2 linked regions of the Arabidopsis thaliana genome follow. The protein of the gene in region 1 interacts with the protein of each later gene in a pairwise test. Each region holds a gene or a part of one and is shown on either strand. Other genes may lie near its edges.

What was found. The genes of interacting proteins can lie anywhere in the genome.
Region 2: the proteins of AT4G12240 (region 1) and JLO interact in a two-hybrid assay, tested with the Arabidopsis thaliana proteins (one large-scale study listed by BioGRID).

The regions. Positions count from the first base shown.
Region 1 is NC_003075.7:7,284,014-7,291,515, reverse strand, and holds AT4G12240 (zinc finger (C2H2 type) family protein), read right to left. Parts: upstream 3,714-7,502; 5' UTR 3,622-3,713; coding exon 2,527-3,621; 3' UTR 2,291-2,526; downstream 1-2,290. Other genes in the region: GAE5 (UDP-D-glucuronate 4-epimerase 5), read left to right, coding at 668-1,978; AT4G12230 (alpha/beta-Hydrolases superfamily protein), read right to left, coding at 4,168-4,548, 4,816-4,956, 5,051-5,158, 5,275-5,383, 5,481-5,623, 5,729-5,827, 6,007-6,132, 6,800-6,871.
Region 2 is NC_003075.7:86,001-94,343, reverse strand, and holds JLO (Lateral organ boundaries (LOB) domain family protein), read right to left. Parts: upstream 4,437-8,343; 5' UTR 4,198-4,436; coding exon 3,889-4,197; intron 2,635-3,888; coding exon 2,257-2,634; 3' UTR 2,089-2,256; downstream 1-2,088. Other genes in the region: XSP1 (xylem serine peptidase 1), read right to left, coding at 102-193, 305-409; LBD31 (LOB domain-containing protein 31), read left to right, coding at 7,456-7,746, 8,280-8,343. UniProt on the Arabidopsis thaliana protein: Involved in the positive regulation of tracheary element (TE) differentiation. Involved in a positive feedback loop that maintains or promotes NAC030/VND7 expression that regulates TE differentiation-related genes.

The sequences.
Region 1 (7,502 bases):
TAAAATTCCTCAAAAATAACCGATTTTGTATTATTTACTTTTTTGTCAATCGATATAAATTAGAACTAAAAAAAGTTAATCCCGAAAGATATTATTTATATATATGACATGATACGATCGATTTTATATCTATTTTTATCATTATTACCCCCGTTATTTCACATTTCTTATAACCTTTTGTTATTGTATAATTTTTCTTTTTATTATCAATCGGAACAAAGAAATACAGAAGTTAAAAGCAAAAGTAGTAAATATTATTAAACAATTATTGCGTGTAAAAATAGTGTATATGTGATCGTGTACAAAAGTACATGCATAACATGATCAATATAGAATGCAATACAACTATACAAATGTCAACAATCTACAAACACGTTTTAACTTTGAAAAGCAATCTAAAATTCATGAATCTAAATATACTCTCTGGCAGCTTTCTTATTACCATATCTTAAAGATTGAACCAAATAAATAAATTTACATCATTAACCAAATTAAACCATCCACATTTAATTTAATTACAACAAGTAAGTAAAAGATCGTCTCTTTCTTCTTTCCCGGAAAATCCTCTCATTTTTGACTTGCTCAATTTTGCTTCCTTAAGACCCAAAAATCCAAACCTAACCCTAATCGACATTTTCTCCGATTTCTAAATCCTCCTCCGGTGAAAATGTCTCACCTTGATGATCTTCCTTCTACTCCCGGAAAGTACAAAACCGATAAAGTTCCACCGTACGGGATTCTCCACCACCACCGTTACCTCCGTCTCTCAAAACTCACCCTTTGGGCTTCTCTCTTCCTCGCTCTCTTCCTCTTCTACCTCGTTTTATCTCCTCCTCCGTCACCATCTCGCCGGAATCTCAACGATTCTTCCTCCATTTCCGCCGCGAAATACGGCGGCTCTCACTGGGAGAAACAAGTCCGTAAATCCGCTCGTCCTAGGTCTCACGGCGGTTTAACGGTATTAGTCACCGGAGCTTCCGGATTCGTCGGTACTCACGTCTCGATCGCGTTACGAAGACGCGGCGATGGTGTTCTAGGTCTCGACAATTTCAATCGATACTACGATCCAAAGCTTAAACGAGCAAGACAAGGCCTTTTAGAAAGATCAGGTGTTTTCGTAGTCGAAGGCGATATAAACGACGCCGTTTTACTCAGAAAGCTCTTTGATGTTGTCCTCTTCACACATGTTATGCATCTCGCTGCTCAAGCTGGTGTGCGTTACGCAATGCAAAACCCTGGCTCATATGTTAACAGTAACATTGCTGGGTTTGTGAATCTATTAGAAGTATCGAAATCAGCGAATCCGCAACCTGCTATAGTCTGGGCTTCCTCTAGCTCTGTTTATGGTCTGAATTCGAAAGTACCCTTTTCGGAGAAAGACCGTACCGATCAACCAGCGAGTTTGTACGCAGCTACGAAGAAAGCAGGTGAAGGAATTGCGCATACTTACAATCACATCTACGGATTATCGTTAACGGGTTTGCGGTTTTTCACTGTCTATGGACCTTGGGGTAGACCAGATATGGCGTATTTCTTCTTTACTAAAGATATTCTTAAAGGGAAGACGATTACTGTGTTTGAATCTCCTGATAAAGGTAGTGTTGCTAGGGACTTCACTTACATTGATGATATTGTAAAAGGTTGTTTAGGTGCGTTAGATACTGCTGAGAAGAGTACTGGTAGTGGTGGTAAGAAGAAAGGTCCTGCTATGTTTAGGATTTATAATTTGGGGAATACTTCTCCTGTTCCTGTTACTAAGCTTGTGACTATATTAGAGAAGCTTTTGAAGATGAAAGCTAAGAAAAAGATCATGCCTCTACCGAGGAATGGGGATGTTGAGTTTACTCATGCCAATATCACGTTAGCGCAAGCAGAGCTCGGTTATAAACCTGCGGTTGATCTTGAGACGGGTTTGAAAAAGTTTGTGAAATGGTATATGGGTTTTTACACTGGCTCGAAGAAGAAGAGTTCTTGGTGAGCTCTGTCTCTCTGCTTAAGTCATGGTCTCTGTTTCCCCTTGTTGAGCTTGGAGTTCGCTCTAGGTTAAGCTTTTGAAACCGAGCACTTGCATTGCCAGGAAAAATCACTTACGTATCTGCATTGTTTCTGTGTTGCTAGATTTTGCTTCATTTATTTGTTAGTAGATTTTGAGCAATGTACAGCTTCATCACTTAGATGTTTCAATTGTCGAAACTCAATTGTCTTTTCCATCATGTCGGAGGAATAAAGTAGCTTGGATTTTGATGCATATACTCTGTAGTAATTCAATCTATTGTCACTTGTTTCTTGTGAATTCAAACATATATTTATTCTTATTCTGACCAATTTTTACATAGCTCTAATCACTTGACTAACGATGATGGTTTGGAAGAACAAATCAAATCACTGCATAATCTTATAACAAGAAACAATGAATGTTCTCTAGCCTGAAGTTTATGTAATATGCCAATAGATTCACAAGATTGTTCTCTAGCCTATACCATGTTATCTTCCTCTGCGCAATCAACCACGACATATGCGATGATGTTATCGACAAGTTCTTGAAGATCCAACACCATCTTCAGTATCGATCTTCCACCAGTCAACACCATCACCAATCTCCACAGGTTCCACCTCTGTTCCATTCTCAATCTCATCATCATAATCAAACTCGTAATCCCAAACACCGCAAGAACCACCTCTCTCTTTCTCCAAAGCAGGATCATAAGTCCACTCCAACTTCTTCAACACATCTCTATCCTTCCACTTCCCCACAACTTTCTCAACTTCCTTCTTCGCCTTCCCCATCGTCACTTCCTTCCACGAATACGCAACATCCGCTACTCGCTTCAGCGCACCTTCGTTCGAATCTCCAATCACAACCGTCCTCAAACACCTCTCCTTAGCTTCCCACAAAATCCCCGCAAAATCAGAATCATCAGACACTAAAACAACACACTCCACTTCTCTCTTATCCATCACTTCAACCAAATGTTCCTTCAACGCCTTATCAGCAGCATCTGGCTTATCACTAACCATCTTCACCCAAAAACCAGCTCGTTTCAGCTCATCAGCTAAACCGTAACCTTCCTTCGGAGTCAAAACATTCCTCGCCGCTCTTTTATACTTCTCAATCTTCATCGAATACTTAGCCACAAGTCTCACTCTTCGATGTCCTTTCGAAGATTCAATCTGTCTCATACGTTTCTGATTCTCTGTCTCATGAATCTGCTTGAAATGATTAATTAGCTTCTCGTTAGTGTAGAATCTCCGGTCACAAACACCGCAGAAGTAAGGCTCCGGTGGTTTAACTAAACCTTTGTTCTCTAATTTGTTTAGCAATTTCCTATCTTTCCTCTGTTCTCGAACTTCTAAAGGAACGTAGCTAAAGGCGTGACGATTCGCATACGCCATCATTAGCTTCACGGTTCCGAAAGACGACGCGGCGGTTCGGAGCTTGACGGCGGCGTCGTAAGGCGGGAAAGAGGCTGGTGGTTTGTTGTCTAGATCCCACCAAACCCCTACTCGGATTTTGGGTTTAGGGTTTATCGAGCTAGAGCTAAAGCTAAAACCTTTGATTGAATTGAGAGATGTGGTTTGGGTTTTAGGTCTCCAACTTTTTAGGACAAATCTTGAAAACATCGCCGGGATCTTTAAAATCGACGGAGAAGATGGGGGCTTCAAAAAACCCGGTTTACATTACATACCCGACCCGGATCCGATTAGAGTTCGGCGATTCTCATGTAAGTTCAATCTGGAGCAAAGAAGAAGACGAATTGAAATACAAAATATAACACCTATAACCCTGAACTTTGTAAATGTTACAATTTTCTTCCTTAACTTTATTAGGGAACAAAACACACCACTGTTCATAGAAAATTATCAAATTTCTACTGCATTAGGTTATTACTGTTATTGTTTTGAATACAGTAAAAGATAAAAACAAATAAATAATGAGCGACTAAATTTTAAAAGAGCAAAATGTGTAAATAATAGAAAGCACATTGGTTTAATCCCAAAACCCAACCAAAGTTTTCTTCCAAAAGTGTAATAACTTGAAACATACAGAGAACTCTTGCTTTGTCTTACAAACTTATACAAAAAGTCAAGAGAAACCAAAACAGATCAAAGAAACCCAAAAGTAAAAAGATTTAAACAACAAAAGAGGTAATAAATAAATAAAGAACACTAAACCAATTGTCTGGAGATAAAACCACCACCGTGAACCAAAACCAATGTACAGTAACACAATGTGAAAACCACACAAGACTGATAAACTTCACCAGCGAGTTGAACTAATATGAGGTTGTTCAATGATGAACTCAGTAACTGAATGGTGTCTGTGGGTAAAGGCGGATCGTTGGAGCTTCCGGAACTTTCTGGAAATGTCGGTGATTGATCTGAAGATGAGCTTCCAGAGTCTTGAGGCATATTGTTGTTACGGTCGTCCTTCTCCTCATCACTCTTCTTCTTGCTCTGGCTGCTACCGTCTGTGCCATCTGCGCCGCCTTTTGGAATGCTTTTAACCACTTCGGGTCGTGGTTCTACTCCTACCCGCCTTAAGTGTAGCTGAAAACATAAGAGTGAGATTCATCATAAGAATATAATGTTTTGATGCAGTAACATGATGTTCCTTTACCAAGCAATAAAACCGGTTTGATTGGAAAAAAAAATCCCTTCAACGGTATGAAATCTAAAAAATAGGTAGAGAAGTTTCAAGTTTCTTTAAAAGTTCATAATTTCTTGAAAAGAGCCTTAGGAGTATATAAATTCGGCTGTCGAAACTGAGTATATGTATACTTCAAATTTGGCTTTAGATACTGAGTAGATATGTACCTGTAGATGCAAATTGACTTCGTCGGGCCGTGATAGGAATGGGAAATCTCCTCCACTCTTTAAGTAAGCTCTCCTTGCTTCAGGATACCTCTCTGTTAGTTCATCTTTAAGATGTTGTGGTATTGCGCAGTAATCATTTGTCTGATTTGGAAGACATAACAGCATTGTTAGACAACGATAAAATTACTTGCATTGATAATACGAAAAGTCCCGTATATAGCTAATCGAAACCTACATCCATTATAGTAACTGAAGAATCAGAGAGTAGTAGAGATCCCACGGAAGCAGCATCCACAGTTAAAGTTAACCGGGAAGCCAAATCATCTTTCGACAATGTCTCCACCTAAATCAGAGTAAACCAAAGAAACCGAGCTGGTAAGTTTATCTAAAATTCCTTGTCCACATGTTATTCAGATCCGTTCAAGAAAATATCATAGATGAAATAATCAGGATAGCAACCTGAGAAACAGCAAAGTCGACAGAGTCAGCTATAAAGGGTTCATGAGGTCCGTCACGAATTCCTGTTAAGACGTATCGTTTAAGCAAAAAAGAAGGGGTCCAACTGACACTGCACAGAGCATCACGAAAAGCGTTGAGAGTCAGTACAAATACTTAGGCACAAACAATAAAAATAAAGAAGGAATAATCGTATAAGAGAGACATACAAAGGAGCCCATGGCATTGCAGTAGCAAAAGTACGAGTATCCAAATATGTATTTGATAGAACTAATGATTTAACCCGCCTTGGACGGTGATGAGCAAAGAGTTGTGCTAAGAAGCCTCCAAGGGAAGTACCGTAGAGATGCACCTATTAAGAATGGTCAAGTACAATCACTTACAATGCCATATATTTCCGCACCAATAAAAAAATTTAGGAACTTAGATGGTGATTTGTAACTTAAAGAGATCTTACGTGATGAACATCAATGGTGTCCAAGAACTTCTCAAATGCTTGAATCCACTCATGATAATTCCAAACCCGTGGAATATCAACTGAGATTACCCGATAACCCTGGAATTGCAGATTTAACAACATAAGTTCAACATTTTTGGAGATATCTAATCAGTCCCCAAGGATCACATCAACACATAAGCATCTAAGTTACCATATCCTAACAAATGTTTAAAGCTACCTGTGATTAAGAAAAGATTGTTTGCAGATAACTGTTGAAAGACTAGAACTTGACAAACCTTCATAGAGAGTGCCATAATCTGTTTATAGTAAACATCTGCAGTTCCTGCAATTCCAGGAATACATATGAGCGGAGGAACAGTCTTTGGACCAAAGTCATAGTAACGCCATTGCTTTGTCCCAATCTGCAGTTAGCATGCACATAAAGCTAGATATTTATAAGATTGTTTATGCTCTGAGCAAATGACATTCCAAGAAAAAACAAAAAAAATGAAATCTTTCATTCCGAAGCTTGAAACAGTGGACATACATGTACAAATGCTTAACAAATCACAGTTTTCCAAACTCTAAGCAACACAACCCGAACAAACATTACATCTATAGAGCCATTCAATAGTTGCTTGGGATTAGTAGAGCTAAGAACTAAATATGCGAACATAAACAAAGACAAATCACTAAGTGTGTCACAGGCTACTCATAGATCAAATCAAAAGCAACACTAAAAGAATCTACAGAAGTTAAAAAGATCAAAAATGGAGAATACCCATCACTAAACTAAAGACTACCAAGTTCTTGCTTTTAGACAAGAACCCAAAAATTAAAATTCTAAGCATAAAATTTGAACCCAAACTCAGCAGGATAAACCCATTTACGATAGAACTACTCACACAAAAAATTCTGCATAAACCCAAACGATTAAAACCCACATGAGATTAATCGAAAATCAACAAAAAAAAAAACAAAAATCAAAACCTCAAAAGCTCGAGATTAAACCTAATTTAGTAGCCGAATAGAATGCAGAATCGAAAATTCATCAAAAGTCAAAGAGAGAGAGAGGAAGAAGAAACATACGGGAATCTTGTGAAGAGGAACCTGAGATTTAAAGTAGACGTAATCTCCGGGCGTCGAAGAGACGCCTTTCATCGCCGATCGGAGATTTTCAACATCCGATCGAATTTATGTATTTAATTTCGCTTTTGCTCTTCACGAACAACTTTGCAATTAATCTTTTTTATTTTTTTTTGCTCTGATTTTCGATAGGAATTATATAACGGCGAGATAACAGAGTCTCCTATATCAACTGCCTGTCAACGTTGACGCCGTGAATGGTCCGTGATTGTAGCAGTCATTCTCAGTTAACGACGTAAAGTATGTAATAATTAATGGTCATCATGTGACTCATCAACATCTATTTTCACATATGTTTTGATTAGATTTCGGTATGAATCAATTTCCAAGAATATTTGGATTTTGATATAATTTCTTTCATTTTATTGATCTGTCTTTCCCAACCGAATTACCCATATTTTTAATATATTTGGAATAATTGCAGAAAAATGCACAAACTTTTCTTTATTTTTAATTTTTCATAGTGCAAATGTAAAAGTAGATAATTTAGCACGAAAGATTCGTATCAAACCGTATTATACCATATATGTAAACAATATTTTTTGGGATTAACTATTTTGAATTCTAATTAATATCGGTTGCCAAAAATATAAAGATCTATTTTACGTACTACTCTTAAAATTAATCGAGAATCAGTTAAAAGAAA
Region 2 (8,343 bases), 7.2 Mb from region 1:
TTTGATTAGCAAACAACCAAGTAGAACATTACTCCATAAAACGTTACGCATTTATATGTTTTAGAGTATGTCTTATACATGTATTGATGAATGACATGTACCTGATATTCAAAGATGATAGAAGATTTATGTGTGTCTTGATAGTTTCTTCTGTATTATCCGGTCGATCTCCCAAATATATGATATAGAAATCCTTTATATGATTAAGTATTTCAAGAGTAAATATTCTCCTTGCAACATAAAGTTTTGTTCAATCTGATGACAAAGAAGCTGGAGAAACAAAGAGATTGTATACAATCATTACCTTTGCATGTTCATCTTCGGCTGAAGCATATCTTGGTGATATCCAAAGAACAACCATAACAAGAACAAGTAGATGATGATGGCAAGAACATTTTGACCTTATCATTGTGGTATTGTGTATATGATAAGTATGCTTATTGAGTAATGAGAAGATGACACATTCTCCTCTATTAATAGAGAGTAAGAGTACCTTATGGGTTTGATTCGTTAAAGATGTTACTTTTGATAAATGGAGTGAAAACAGATTTAATTTCTTTTAATTAATCTAATGTATAGCACACATGCGGAATTGTAATAGAGCTTGATAATTTGTTTTTGATAAAAATTAGTTCGTATGGTGTCTTAGAAGGAAAATAGTGGTCACTTGCTATATCTAATTGTTTCTATTTTGGTGATAACATAGATTAATACACATGTATATGTATAGAGTAGTAATAGGAACTTGAGATTTGAGCTAATAATAAGATTTTGATTACTTGAATTCGAATTCAAGCAATTGAGTTTTTACCATAGTAATAGCTTTAAAGTTTTCCAATGGTGATCATATATTGTCTTGTAAGGCTCTACTCCAATGGTTCTCTCTTAAATATTACACTAATTGATACACACATATAAATATAATTTGTATTCATGTTATTATTTCATCATCAACAATTATATATTGCTTAGCTCAACCCTTTATTCATTCACTTAGTTTCAAAAAATGACATTTTCTGATCAAACAATATGTCAATTTAGTATTAAAAAATTATTCAAAATTGATAACTCACATGATCACACATGTGTCATATCTATTAATTAGAGATTTTTTCATGTATAAAATCATTATAAAAAATTATATAATATTAATTAGAAATGTTGCTTATGTTTTGCATCTTGCTTATTTTTACTTGATTTTTTGTCAATACATTTATAAAAAAATTTATATATGTTTCTTATTAATACCTCTAAAGTTATGAATATAAAAATGGCTTATTGCTTCTATAGCCATAGGGCTAAACTTCATTTCGGCAATTCAAGAAACGCTCTGATTACACCGTACCTTCAATTACTCCAAATATCTTACAAGCATGCTTTGACTTTGTGAGCCTCGATTGGAACTGATTGTTCAACCAATAGTCGTGTTTTACAGTGTCTCATCAAGGTTTGGTTTACGTCGACCCTTCATAGCCGCTGGCACTATCCTCCTCTCACCATTGTGGTACTACTTATCGGCTATGCAATCGACGTTGGGGTTTTGATTGGTGATTATTGTCCAATCCATATGTATTTTACTCATTGGTTTATGTAGCTTAGTCCTTAGACATCGCTAAGATCATGTTCAAGGTCCGTGTAGGGCCTTCTAGTTGATGTAGAGGCGGGAAATGCTAAGAGAACACAAGTTGAAAACCAGCTTTTATAAAAATGGTGAAAAAAAAGACAAAATTGGCTCAAATTCTCTAGTAAATTAGGAAGATTGTTAAATCAAATGCATGCTTCGAAGATGTTGTTAAAATAGTGTGGACTACAAAGCAAACCAGAGTATCAAACTCAATTGAGTCGGGTTTAAATAATATTTTGGGCTGCTTGATATAAGAAAAAAAAACTTTATTGAACCCATTTAAGGCCCAATATAAGTGATAGGGAAAATGAGAAATGAGACTCATTGGTTCGTGTCTCGCGCCAGAATCAAGCCTCCTTCACGCTCAAGATTCCACCCAAGTTGTGGAGAACCGGTGTACTCTAGGCTGATTAAAACAACATATTCGATGGTCCAAGAGACCAAAGCAACTTCAACATATTGGCCTATAAGATACTCCATTTAATCAATGTAAATCATATAGTTCTTATATTAACATTCTAGACAACAATTTAAATACGAATTCGACCAAGTATATATATTACAAGGAGAAACATATGGCTAACTATAGATCTCTTACGGTCCAAATAAACAAACATACGATAAAAATAACTTCATTCTCGTTTTATCACTGACGAGGCAGAACCACTGGTTCCCGGCGATGGCTGAGCTGGCATTTGCCCACCGTGAATAAACTCACGCGCCAGTGCTTGGAGCTCACCGCCTCCGCCCATATTGGACGATGACGGGACGCCGAAGAGATGATCAGACGGTCGTGGTTGTTGCTGCATGGCCCAAGTGGAGGACATGACCGGCTCGAAGATGGAGGAGAGGTCGTACACCGACGGTGATATTGTTGGGAGGTCCGTTATGGAAAGAGCCTGTAGAGATCCTGAAGATGACACCGGAACCTGTGGTGGTTGAGGTTGTGGCAGCTCTAGAGTTGCTAAGTGTGCTTGTAGATATGAAAGCTCAGTTTGCAAACTTACCACCTGTTTTTTTTATAACGAAATTGAAATGGATAATAATGCCAACAAATATGAAAGAGTGATAAGAATCTAGATAAAATGATATTTTCAGCAATCTTTAATAATTGGAAGAGTTTCCGAATTCGAGCAAATGTTGTTGATTCAATAATGCCAAAAAAACACGACAGGAGTAATTGATCAATCAAGACCACCGATTTAGAAAAATATATGCTGAATAAAACAATCTAATTATAACACAAAAGACATTGTACATAACATATAAATAAATGCTTGCTTGTAATATTGGAAATATCCTTCACTAACATCAATTTATAGAATGCAATTGCATACGTTTGTATATATCTCGTGTATGTGTGTACTATATATGTATATTGCAATTAAAAGATAAACCAAAAAAAAAAATGATGCTTGGGAATAAGTGTAAAACAACGTGGTTGTTGCGAACAGAGGAAGATTTGTCATCTCAATCACTTGGAAACAAACCTTGTAAACATTCAACAAAACTTCACAATACATATGTGCTAAATGATCGCTTAACTTCCTTAATCCTAGCCAATTAACTACGACTGTAGAGATTTTAACTAGGAAATAGAGAGAAGTTTTCATATATATGCTATATGTGAAGTGAAATACACACACATAGAATTATGCTTTATGCATGTTTTCTTAACAAACTACTATTACTAAAAGTGTAAATCAAAAGATAAGCTTGTTCTATATCACATAAATATAGACTCATAGACACGACATTTAATATAAAGACATAACTTTGCCCAAAAGGCAAAGGCCATGAACCCAGTTGTAAAATTTTAGATTTTTAAAACTCTTATTTTAATGTAGAGTTGGTTTTCGATCATGGCAAAAACAAAAAATATTCATCCTTAAAAGAACAAATCGGAATGAATTAAAAAAAAAAATCGATGCATAAGAAAGGGTAATTTGCATCATTGCATGATGGGATATGATCCTAGAAATGACAATCAGAGGAGATCCATAGAATGGGAAAAAGTACTTAACTTTGTAGTTTAATTGAACATTAAGTCAAAATGAAAAATCTCATTTAAAAAAAAAAAGTTTGAAAACGCAATTTTCTTCAAAAAAAAAGAAGAAGTTAAAAACATAATTACATAGAAAATGATTAAAATAAAATGATCAACGTGACGATATAGAGACAGTAGATCAACTTAAAACTGTTGCAATTTCCCATCATAAATAGTACTAATCATATAATTAAACGTTATGAAAAGAATAATTAACCTGTTGCTGAAGAGAGACGATGTGAGAGACGCAGCCGTAGATAGGGTCTCTGAGACGAGCTTGAGCCTCAAAGCAGATTGAAACGACGGCGTCTGGTCGTTTATGCTCGGGAACATGGTGGAGGAGTTTGGAGACGTTGCTCGCTCCGAACACCTTGTGAACCGCCGCGAAGTGCGCCGCTCCTTGCTCGGAGTCAAAGTAAGGAGCGAAGATGCAGCCAGCGACACACTTCCTTCTCAAGAACTTGCACGCGCCGCACGGTCCTCCTCCTCCACCGCTGCTGCTGCTAGGGTTTCCGCTACTGCTCATCTTCCTTTTCTACCACACAAGTCCTTTTTATTTTCCTTTCCTTTTACTAGCTAAGTGGTGATTAGGGTTTTGAGATACATGGATTTAACTCATCGAGATTATGATGCTTTTTGGTTCGTGATTAGAGAAAAAAAAGAAAGGGAACGTTTGGGAGAGAAGAAAAGAGAGAAGGAGGAGATCGGACGTAAGCAAAACTAGGGTTTGGTTGTTGGTAGATAATAAAAAAAGTAAAATAATAATTTAATTAGTCTTGTTATTACCAAGACTAAAAAATAAAAAAGAGGTTAAGACAAGAAGAAGAAGAAGAAAAAAAAGACTTCAAAGCAACGCGATGGAGCGTACTTGTCTCGTGTTAAGCTCTTTGCGTGAAGCAAAACATTCCATATCTTTCAACTTCTTCATTGTTATTCCCTTTCCTTCACTTTTTCTACTTCTGGTTTAATTTTATTTTTGTTACATCGAACCACACAACTATCTTATGGTATATACCAATTGTAATATATGAACATTCAATCTAATACTATGAGAAATTAATTTTACAAACAAATAAATGTATAAAATGAGCTTAAATATATATATATATATATATATATATATATATATAATCTAATTAATTACTAATTTTTGGCGGTGATTTTAATGTGATAACTTTGTAGTCGAAATGTAACGGTTCACCGCTATGCGTTATTTTCTTTTTGGTTAATCGGATATTTTATCAACATTTGGCAACATTTTCTAGAAAATTTAAGCGGTTTTTTTCCGTTAGATTCTTTAAATAAAATTTTTTTTGCAAACTTTAATTTTACTTTTGTCGTATATGACACGAACATGTATATTATGATATTTGAATTAAGTGTATACCACGGCGATAATACCTATACAAATTACTAACTTTTTTTTTTTGGTTTTAGAAATTCACTGCCCCAAAGTATTTGTAAAAAACAATGTTCAATTTTGGTAATAGAATTCATAATTTATCCAAAAAATTAAAATACAAACTAAACTACTAATGTAACAAATTCACATATATTGCTGATGCTACATATATGTAAAATTGATAAAGAGGGAGGGAGAGAATATGCAATTTCCAAAACAACTAGATTTATTACATATGACCATGTAATGATTATATGCAAAAACTCGTATTTATTGACGGTATTAATGAGTTGATGTACGCAATCTATATTTGGGTCAGGGAATCATGTTTACTCAATATTCGATTAAGGTACAAATAAGGAAACTCCAACTAGTGCATATATTTCACAAATATTTGAACTTTCCGAAATTACAAGATCTATGTAATGTATAGTCTAGTCAGTGCGGATCTCCAATATATTATTACACGATAAATGAGTTTAAAATTTGGTGACGGCAAGAATGATCAAATACACGTGTGTACGTGTGCGTGTATAATATACATATCTCACATCATTGATTCAAAAAAGAAAAGAGTGACGATTACGACGGTCCAATAATAATCACCAAATGAGTAAAGCTAAGTTGGTTTAGAAGAAGAACCGGTGATCAAAACATAAAAGAAAGAAACCGGGATTGGATTTGAGAGAACCGGAAAAATTGGCACGTATATATGATCGCCATGTGTCGAATGTGACTTTTATGAAGAACGTAACCGTTCTGACGCAACCAATGGCTCGTTTGCGAGTGCATATGGTATACAAGTAACGCTCCCATTTCATTTCTTATGTTATTATTACTTGATTAATTATGAACAGTGAAAACTAATTAATTACATTACTTAGGAGATTAACAAATAGATTAGAAGAAACGGTAACAGTTGTTGACAGAGGTCACCGTGCCGTCCGGCTCTTGTCCAATCTTTGTTTGTACTAACATGAGACACGTGTCCTCGTATCACGCCCTCTTCTGCTCCTTTCCTCACCGCTTGCGTACGCTAATGTACACTGTTTGTATTTAATACATTCACTAGGCCTAATAGTACAAGAGAAACAGAAGAAAAAAACTATTCTTTTTGTCATATACGTACATTTTAGGTGTAATCACTACTATTAATCATTTCGCTATAAAGAAGGATCCGAAACAGATACAAGGCCCGGCCCATTAAGGAGAAGGCTTTAAATTAGGGAAGTGAACAAGGGTCAGGGATCTTGTCAAACAGAGAGAAAGAGAGACATGACAGTAACTGACTGACTGAGGTTGTACTTGCGGGGGAAGCAAACAGTGATCAGTGTCATGTCTGTTTCTGACTATACGATTTGTAGAAACAAGAAGCAACATACATCTCGATTTTCTCTCTATAATTCTATCACGAAAGCTGTCCATAGAGAACTAGTTTGACAAAAAATTATATACAGTATATAACATATATAAAAGAATTACACACGTGTGGTGAGGGATCGCACGTGTGTGTGACAGGGAAACCTGCGGCTGAGTGGTGAGAGAGAAATACGTCAGCAAGCAGCTAATTGTGTTTTGCTTCACGCAAAGCATTTGTGTTTGTTTGTCCTTTGTATATATCACAAATCTGCTCTGCCGTTGCTTCCAAGCTTTACTCATTCTAATTAGTACTAGTACATTCATTCTCATTACTATAATAATTCATAATCCCCACCACTTGATCCCTCGTTATAATCCGATTTTAGTACCTTGTTAACTGAACCCACCAGCCTATATATATCTTCATTACTCACTATCTAAAATTCTAAATCCTTACTTGTTCACTACTTTCTAGGCCTTGCTTGTGTGATAGACTGATAGTTAGTTCTAGATTCTCAGTGGCATATACAAAATCTTTTTATGTCTTAAACCTATGATTGCTAATTTAGATGATATATATTGTTGATTTGTCTACTTTTCAATTTACAAGTATATGTTATCCCTCCTTGTGTTATATGCTTTCATTGATTTTAGGAGTCCATAAATAGATAATTCTTTCACTTGTTTGAAAATAGCTTGTTTCTTGAGTGTGTGATTCAACTATGTACAGAAAAGTGAAACACACCAAGGAAAACAAAAAACAAAAATATGGACATACAAAAGAAAAGATGATCAAGTTATAGAAAAATGTAATGATTATAAATGACCCACCACCAAAAGCAAGACATGATTTTCTTGCCTGACACGATCCTCTATGCTCCACATCAACTTAAAAACATTTATTCATAAACAAACCCATCCATCTCTCTCTCTTAAACATCTCTTTGGATTGGATATATAATAACTGTGGTCGACGACGACACAACTTCCCCCAAACAAAACGTTACGTCTTTGACATAAAAGATGAGCGGAAGCACCACCGGTTGTGGAGGTCCATGCGGCGCATGTAAGTTTCTCCGACGGAAATGCGTTGCTGACTGTGTCTTCGCTCCCTACTTTGATTCGGTGGAAGGGACGTCTCATTTCACGGCCGTGCACAAGGTTTTCGGGGCGAGCAACGCCTCCAAGCTCCTCATGATGATTCCAGCCAGCCGGAGACTGGACGCTGTCGTCACGCTTACTTACGAGGCATTGGCTAGGCTTCGCGATCCCGTCTACGGATGCGTTGGTCATATCTTCGCCCTTCAACATCAGGTATTCAACTATATAAAACCCAATATTGTCACATATTTATGTATATATAATATATGTTTGATGATCTATATACATTGAAAGATTTACTATGCATGCATGCGTGTATTTAGTTATATAGAAGTTCATTGTATAATAAAATCATCCCATAACATTAGGTTAAAGATGAGATTTATATATCCGCATCTTTTAGCCACGTAACTTGTTACTTTTATAACAGTTCCATTTAATCGCCTCTTGGTTTCCTGTTTATTAGTTTTGAAAATTGCATAGTACTAATTCCACAATAAGAGTCAAAGTTGCTAATATTGAAAATAGCTAACGTGTGTCTTCCCAATGGCTCGTTTGTCGAAAACAGCGTTAAAGAAAGTCAAATCGTCATTCTTTGTGGTTACATTCCGACTTGTTTGTCTTTAATAGTATATCGGTTGAATAAAACAGTTTGAAAATTTTCTTCTAATACGAATAAATTAGGTTTTTTAAAAACTAATGTTATATGAACTTTTTAATTAAATAAACGTCCCACATGTGAACAGGTGATGAATCTACAGGCGGAGTTAGCTTACGTCCAAACTCAACTCTCAACATTACAAGGTCTTC